Schizosaccharomyces pombe: one gene and its partner. Changing the gene in region 1 together with any one later gene gives a genetic interaction. Each region holds a gene or a part of one and is shown in the gene's direction. Other genes may lie near its edges.

Evidence for each region.
Region 2: of clr5 (region 1) and cnp20, a mutation in one rescues a mutant of the other (synthetic rescue), as found in Schizosaccharomyces pombe (one large-scale study listed by BioGRID).

Annotation. Positions count from the first base shown.
Region 1 is NC_003424.3:5,426,722-5,430,652, forward strand, and holds the start of clr5 (silencing factor Clr5), read left to right. Parts: upstream 1-1,634; 5' UTR 1,635-1,685; coding exon 1,686-1,801; intron 1,802-2,397; coding exon 2,398-3,931.
Region 2 is NC_003423.3:277,566-281,496, forward strand, and holds cnp20 (centromere receptor protein cnp20), read left to right. Parts: upstream 1-1,917; 5' UTR 1,918-2,098; coding exon 2,099-3,538; 3' UTR 3,539-3,682; downstream 3,683-3,931. Other genes in the region: SPOM_SPBC800.12C (ubiquitin family protein), read right to left, coding at 682-923, 965-1,028, 1,086-1,193.

The DNA of each region.
Region 1 (3,931 bases):
TTTATGTTTTTGTTCACATGTTACATTCAACTTTATGTTTATTCACATGACTTGATGATTTTATTTTGGCGGACGCAGAGTTTGCCAAATTGAAGGAAATAGAGTTGTGTCTGATATGGATGCGAAAGGTATGCGAGTGGCATAAAACTGGCATCCCAGTGTTACAAAATATATATTTTTTTTTAATATTTAGTTATTCATTTACTTATTGGGTTATATTTACAAGACAGTGTGATGATAATACAAATAATAGAGTGGAGTATGTTATACGAATAAAGTATGTTATGAAAAGTTTCTAATAAATAAATTATGCTATTCCGTATGTTGTATAAATGAAGCTGCTATAAAGTATGTTAAAATTGTATACTAAAAGAATACAAGGTGGATTATGTAGTAAGAAAACAACGAGTCTTACTAGCAAGTTTATAAACTTTCCTCGGGATGAGCGATAGCATAAGTTTTGCAAGGTAAAGGACATCGGCAGTGTCAAGAGGAAGAAGTCGATAAAAAGGAAATACTCGATCAAAGAACTTTAAAATAAATTAAGGAAAAAGAAAGAAATTACCCCAATTATTTTTTAGTATTATTTTTATTTTTATTTTTCTTCTTTCTTTCTTTCTTTTCTTATCCTATTTCTCTTCTTATCCCATGCCTTACCCTACCTTTTCATATCTTACCTTGCCATCCCTTCTATTTCATCTACTATTACCTCTGTCTTGTAACACTTGATGGATGCGTGCATCAGTGTGCTCTCTTTCATGGGTGCTCGCTTCTTCCTCCTCTTCGTCCATCCAAATTAGGTACGTTCGGAGTTGATCATGATTTCGGATTTTCAATTTTTTTTCTCAGACACTCGTCTCCAGATACCCATGTCGTCTCCAAAGCAACCTGTTACTCGTTTGCGAAAAGAAAAAAATACCTTGGCAAGACAAGGCAAGCAGGCATCTCTGCCCAACATTTACTAGCAGACCAAATCGCGAACATGTCAGCTTTCTAACGTTCATCCTTCACTTACTGGAAATGGGACAGAATGCTCTCGTCGAGGATTTAACGTTAAAGGTTATTGTTGAGTTGACAAAAGGTGGAAGAAGCGAACAAAAGAGTTGGTAAAAGAAAAAAGTTGCCGCTAGCGAGTCCACCCTCTACCAATAGATCAAACGTGCCAAAAGACATATGGGATAGCAAAGGCCCAAACTCCCCCAACCCAACCTAACCTAACCTAACCTACCTAAGAGTAGTGTTGAGTAGAATGAGTTTCAGTACTTTGAGTGCGAAAGGAGTAATGAGTTTTGTTGGATGGATAAGAGCAGGGAAGCGCCATCATACGAAGCGGCTTAACAGTGAAACCGAAATTCTCCATGAGCAATATTTAATGAATATCTCACGATGTGATTGGAAAGATGGCAACCATCGATACGAGGTCATTTTTCCGAATGCCTGAGATGATAGAAAAAAGTTGCGCCCTTTTTGGCTATATATTTCTATCCTCTTTGACCCGATGTTCCTTACATGTTTCCGGGGGTGTACCTTGGATCGCTCTATTTTATCATTTAACGTTGTTGTCATTCGTGCACTAAATTGATACACTATTTTCACCCCTACTTTACGAGCCACCACTACCACCAACTCTGGCCACTTCCAATCTCAACTTGAAACAACATTAGACAACCGAAAGTTCGATTTCAATGACGAAGGAATGGGAATGTCGAAGAGAGCAGATCATCGAGCTTTCCAAGATCAATGGAATGACGATTCGCGAGCTGCAGGCGAGAATGTCAAAGATGTATAAATTTGACGCTAGGTAAGTAGTTTGTTGGTGTCGCCGCAGGGACTACAAGTTGCGCCATTTTGTGCGAGATGCTTGCGATGCGACGAGGAGCGAATAAGTACAGGGCTAGAGGTACGAGAAGGTGAATGGAATTGTGTGTTTGGATGTTTGGGTGTAGGTCGTCGTTGTGTGTCGTGCCTGCATGGACATTGGCTATTGTTGGGTATGTGGGGTTGCGACAATAAAACAGGATGGCAGTTTTCCAAAACATCCTCAACTGAGACATTCATTCAACAATGAAATTTTGTTTCTTTGTTTCTTTGTCTTTTTGGTTTGCTGTTTTGTTTGGAATATCTTTTTTTTCATCCACTTTGTCCAATCCACTTACATACAGGATACAAATGTCCTAAACAATAACCCGTCATGTATATCATGTGCATGCTCATGCAAAAGACCATGCCATATGAATCCATCCTGTTTTCCTTTCCTCTATTTCATTTGGCGTTGCGTTGAAGTTGTCTTTCGCTACTTCGTTTTCGCTCACGTTTATGTTCACGTATCGCGTACTTGTCTCTTTAGCTCTTTTTTTTTGTTGTTTTGTTTCATTACTCTTGCTAACTTTTCTCTAGTATTCGCTCATACAAACGCGTGTTGGCTCGATGGGGAATTCGAGTACATCGTCAACGTTTTGTCTCGCCCCGAACCGAAGAGGCCGCCGCGCGAACCGCTTCGGGCGACGTTTCAAAGGCTCTCGATGAACTCGTTACCCAATTATTTCATGCGCGACAAAGTGATAAAGATTCTTTGGCCCAGATAGAGGCGAACTTTGGTTTAAAACTTTCGAAACGTGCTTTGCATTATCGTCGTAAGAGATTAGCCTTAAAGCGTCCTCCTCCTGACTCCCACGATTCTCCCAATAACTCTATCCCTTTGATGGCCAACTCTTGTCTTTTGTCTGCTGATAACTCTTCGTCGTCTACAACTTCCAATCCTAACGTTGCTCCTCCCATTAGCACTCTTCCTGATCCCGTCGCTACTATATCATCTTCTTCTTCGAGCCATTTAGATATGGGTGCCATCCATCCTCCTCACCATAGCTCGCTTCCCCCTCACATGGGTGTGGATCCTTCAACTATGGCTGATGCACACAATGCGCACTCTTCTTTGACTCCTCCACAGTCTGGCTATTCTAGCATGCCATCTCTTCCTTATTTGCAGCAGCCTTTCCAAATACCCTCTCAACGTTTCTCTCGACAGCAACAATCTCATCCATTCCCTGCTGCTCAACATGCCGTTAACGGTCAGCCACAAGCTTTGTATCCTTTCATCTACCAATCTAGAAATGTCCCAATGGGCTCCACCATGTTTGCTTCTTCAAACCAATCTGCTGCTCATCCTGACGGTAATAATGCCCTTCCAATGGACAATACTCATGCCAACATATCCTATATGCAATCATCACAATCGATGCCTGTTAATTCTTATTCCTATGATCGATATACTCCAAATCAACCATCTTATCTTGAAAGTAAGCCTGGAAATCACCAACCCAGTTATACATCTGAACAACCTATGTATTCTACAGCGTCGGTTCCTCAACAAATTTCTAACGGACCAACTGCTGTCAATGGATTACCCATGAATTCATACACACCTCATTCCAATCATCTTCATTCACCCTCTCCTAACTCAAATTCAGGGCCTACTGATTCTTTGTCTGCTCCTAATTCTACATCCAGCCCTTCAATGGCGCATGCAAATGGAGCTTCTTTTGCAAGTCAGTACCCCTCTCTAAACAAGTCCATTTTTCCAGCTTCATATTCTTCTTCAGCGGAGGATGGGCAAAACATGCAAGCACCAGCACATGCTTATATGCAGTCTTCCATTTACGGCGTTAATCAAGAGCAAAAGTCGGAATATCCTTCTAATCTTTCAATGCAGTCTTCCATGTCAATTAAAGACCCCTCCCAGTTACAGCGTATACACTTATACCCTCAGCATTCTCAATACGATCCTAATGGAATGACTATGCGCGATCACTATTCTGAACGAATTGAACCGGAGGCAAAACCATCCGATGAAACTCTGACTGTCCGTTCATCTCGTGATTTATCTGTTCATAACGTTGGTACGTTACCTGTGCTAAGTGCCGCTGCTGCAACG
Region 2 (3,931 bases), on another chromosome or scaffold:
ATTTTTTTTGGTGATTAAAGTCATAAAAAAAGAGAAATGGACATGATCAGTCACCTTTTTTAAAAAAACAAAAATACGACCCCCTCAACTTTTAAGGCTAAATTTTACATATGAATGCAGTCTACATCCCAAAAAAAATAATAGCTAAACTTTTAACATTGTACTTTTGGGATAATTTTCAACCATTGACAAAATCAATATACAATTCTATATAACATGTTGAAGGAAATAAATTTAGCTTAAAATTATAATTATTATGCTTTTTTTATGAGGTATAGGGCGCAATTATGAAAGAAATACGGGCGCTTAAATACGAATTTTAAAGAAAAATGTTAACAATAAATAAATACAATTTGACTTTTCTATAGTACGGAATTCAAGAAAAAAAAAATGTCTGTTACATTATTTACTGACTATGCTCTTTCGATTTTTGTTTTAAATTAGATTTTACTTGCCGGCGTCTTGCATAAAAAGGGAAACATAAAAATCCCAGATATGCAAAACTGAGAAAGTATAGAGCGAATTACACAAAGAAAAGCTGTAATAGTTATAACTATAACTTTCATAATAAGTATGTAATGACACACTTCATTTTTTATAAGTGTCTGACGTCGAATACTTTCCTAATCAAAAAATAGGAGAAAAACTAATATAGGTAAATACCAACATGAAACAAGTCATTTAAGAAATATTCATTAGAAACATTTGAAGATTAACTTCAGAGACACTGTCGGCATCCACATAGTCATCTAGAAGTCTGGAGTTGACAAGAGGTTTGCCTTTGTACATCAAACGGATAGAGGAAGGTTGCGTAGATAACTGAGATGCTAAAACTTCTTTAAGCTCCAAAATTGTAGACTGTACATTTATTTCAGTAGATGCTTGTTGAATGGGAGGTCGGACAGTTTTCGCAACAACATGAACTAGATTTTTAGTTAAAAGTAGTTATTTAAGCAGAATTTACCTTTCTTTTCCTCGAACAAAGCTAAATTTCCTTGAAACTCGACCAGTGGAGCAGGAATAGTGATCTATAAAACTATTAGTTTCAATAGCATATTTGTGAAACAAGAATCATTATTACGCACCGAAATAGCAGTTTCATCTATTTTTTCAATTGGAATACTATCAGGGTGATTCCTAGGGGTCTTTGAAAGCTCTTCTAGAAACGATTTAACAATTTGTACCTCGCTCATGGTGATGGTGGAATGTCAAGTTTACTCAAGCTAATTATCAAGTGTCCTAAAACCACTAAAGAGAAAATCTCGAAACAAATATCATACAAAATGCCATTAGTTCCAACTTTGACAAACAACACATCAAATCTGACGTTCAGTTTTTGATAATTATGTTACAATGCTGCTAACCGACAAATTTAAGAGTCCAAATCCTTGATGTAATAGCGCTCAAGTTCAACATAAAGTATTCTATAACTTCGTCTATTTCATGCCTTAAGCTTTACAACCTCGCGAACGTAGTTTACTCAGAATTGTCAAAAAGAATAATAATTATGATTTTAAAAATTTACTGTTAAATAAATTATTAAAGTCATAAGAAATCTTTGCATTGTTAATAAAGTTGCTGTTGCAAATACTATCCATACAAGTTTCTGAAAGTTAAGAGTTTAGTAGTTTTTAAATATTGTTTCCCTAAATGTTTTGCTTATCATTATAGCAAACAATAAAGCTAAATAGTTTAATTGTTCATTTCATGCTTTCATCTTATTTCATAGGCACATAAAGTATCTTTGCGTTTTACTTCGATTTTTTAAAAGAGGTTGTATTCCTTCATGTTTTTAGATAAGATTGCTATGGAGCAGTTTTAGAAAAGATGCGTATATAAAGACAGACAGATTAGAACTTAAGCAAGTAAAGTGTGAAGTAGTTGTATACTAATTAGAAAGATGATATAACCAACCTTACTAGAGCCATAATCTTTAATCAGCCCTGAAATCGTCTTGTTCGAATCATTTGTTTTTTAAAAGGATTGATTATTATTGTTTATTTCTCCTTAATATTTATCAAAAACTCCAAATCGCTGTATAGGTAGCATGGTATACATATATTCACTCAACCTACATTTCTAATCAATCACGCTTACAATGGCTTCTCACAATTATGAGACGCCACTCAAGAGCTCTTCCTTTCAACATTTAGTTGGTACACTTTCTCAGCGACGGCATTTTACCCCCTCTAGAAGCAGGTATACTCCACGTTCTGCTCAACGGACTGTTACTCCTCATAAACGGAGAGCTCTTGCACGCAGGAATAGTCTAGCAAGGAGAAGGAGCAATGTGTTTTCCGCAACAACTCCTAGAGACATTCTCAGAATGCTCAGTCGTGCGCTGGCAAAAAATCCAGTACCATCACCAGCTGAATCAGAATCCTCCGAGCGACGACATACTCCACAAACTAATAGTCAAAAGTCTCAAAAGACACCAAGATTGTCTTCGAATAAGCGTCGGACTTTAAAAAATGATGCTAAACAAAGGAATTCCCAATCTCCAGGTACCGACACTAGCGATGCAAATCTGACGATACAATCCATCGAAGCTCCAAGGCGTGCTCCACAGCGCCTTAGCGACTTTTTTACACCAGATGGAAGGCGTGTCAGTAATATTCGTGATTCTCTAATCTCAGAAAAACGATTAGAAAATAATATTGACCAAGTTCAAGAAAGCGCGTTAAGTACCGCTTCTAGTAATCGACTCATAGATTTAAAAAATGACGAAGTTCCTATTTTTCGCATTCCTTTAAGTGATTATGAAACAGATGACATGGATGACGGTACACCTCTCCAACGCCATGTTGCGACCCTGAACCAATATCAAAGTCCCATTTTTAATTTAGGCCCGGACATTTTAGAAGATGAACCATCTTACTCTTCAAGAGCTTCCAGATCCCGTCAATCATCTCTCTCTTCTCGATTATCTGAGTTACCTTCTAAACGCGCCAGCCTTGAGATTTTAAGGCGCGAAAATACTTTCCCAGCCGATCCAATTCAGGAATTTGGTGAAAAAGCATACAATGAAAGAGAATTGATGGAAGAAATCTCAAATTTTGAACCCTTACTAGATGATAACTTGCTTGAAAATGCCAACGAAGCTGTCAATTCCCCAGTAGTAGACGCACCAATGGATGCTGATTCTGCTTTAGAAATACCCAATGATGAAGATAATGGGGAAATTCTAAATAAACTAAAAGATTCTCCGTTTAAAAAACCTAAAAGAAGATATTCCAAATCTTCAACACTTGTGCTACCGGAAACAAATATTAGGAAGTTGGCTAATTCCTATTCACAGAAAAAAATTGCTGGATCAGTGATTGAAGAACTAACTACAGCTTCTGAACTCTTTTTCAAACAGATCGCGAATGACCTTTCGGCTTTTGCAGACCATGCTCATCGGAAAACAATTGACACGCAGGACGTGGTTTTACTTATGAAAAGACAAAGGAAAATAAGTGAGAAAAAATCCCTATCCTCTCTAATGCAGCAATATTTATCGCGTGAAATTGCACCTCCGGCAATTAAGAGAACCTAATGCGTACTTCTCCTTTACATTCATCCCTGTATATTAGAATTTTTTTCATCGTTTTACCTCTTTGGATGTTAAGATTTTTTATTAATAGTTAATTTAATGATTATTTATATTTATTGCTATTTTTATATTATTAATTAATTGTAAGGCACGTCTAGAAAATTTGTTTTCTTAGGAAATAGAATTATTTTCAAAATTTGCAACCTATGCAAGAACGCTTGATTCGATACACTTACAAGTTTGTTTAACAGCTTTTGATTATTTGTAATTTAGCCAACATTTATTTTCGTCCATTAGTTAAAATTACATGATCAAGTAAATAAATTTCATTATCTGCTAACTGCAAGAAACATTTATTTTTATAATTTTTTTTAGTATTTGAAAGATGAGTTTGCA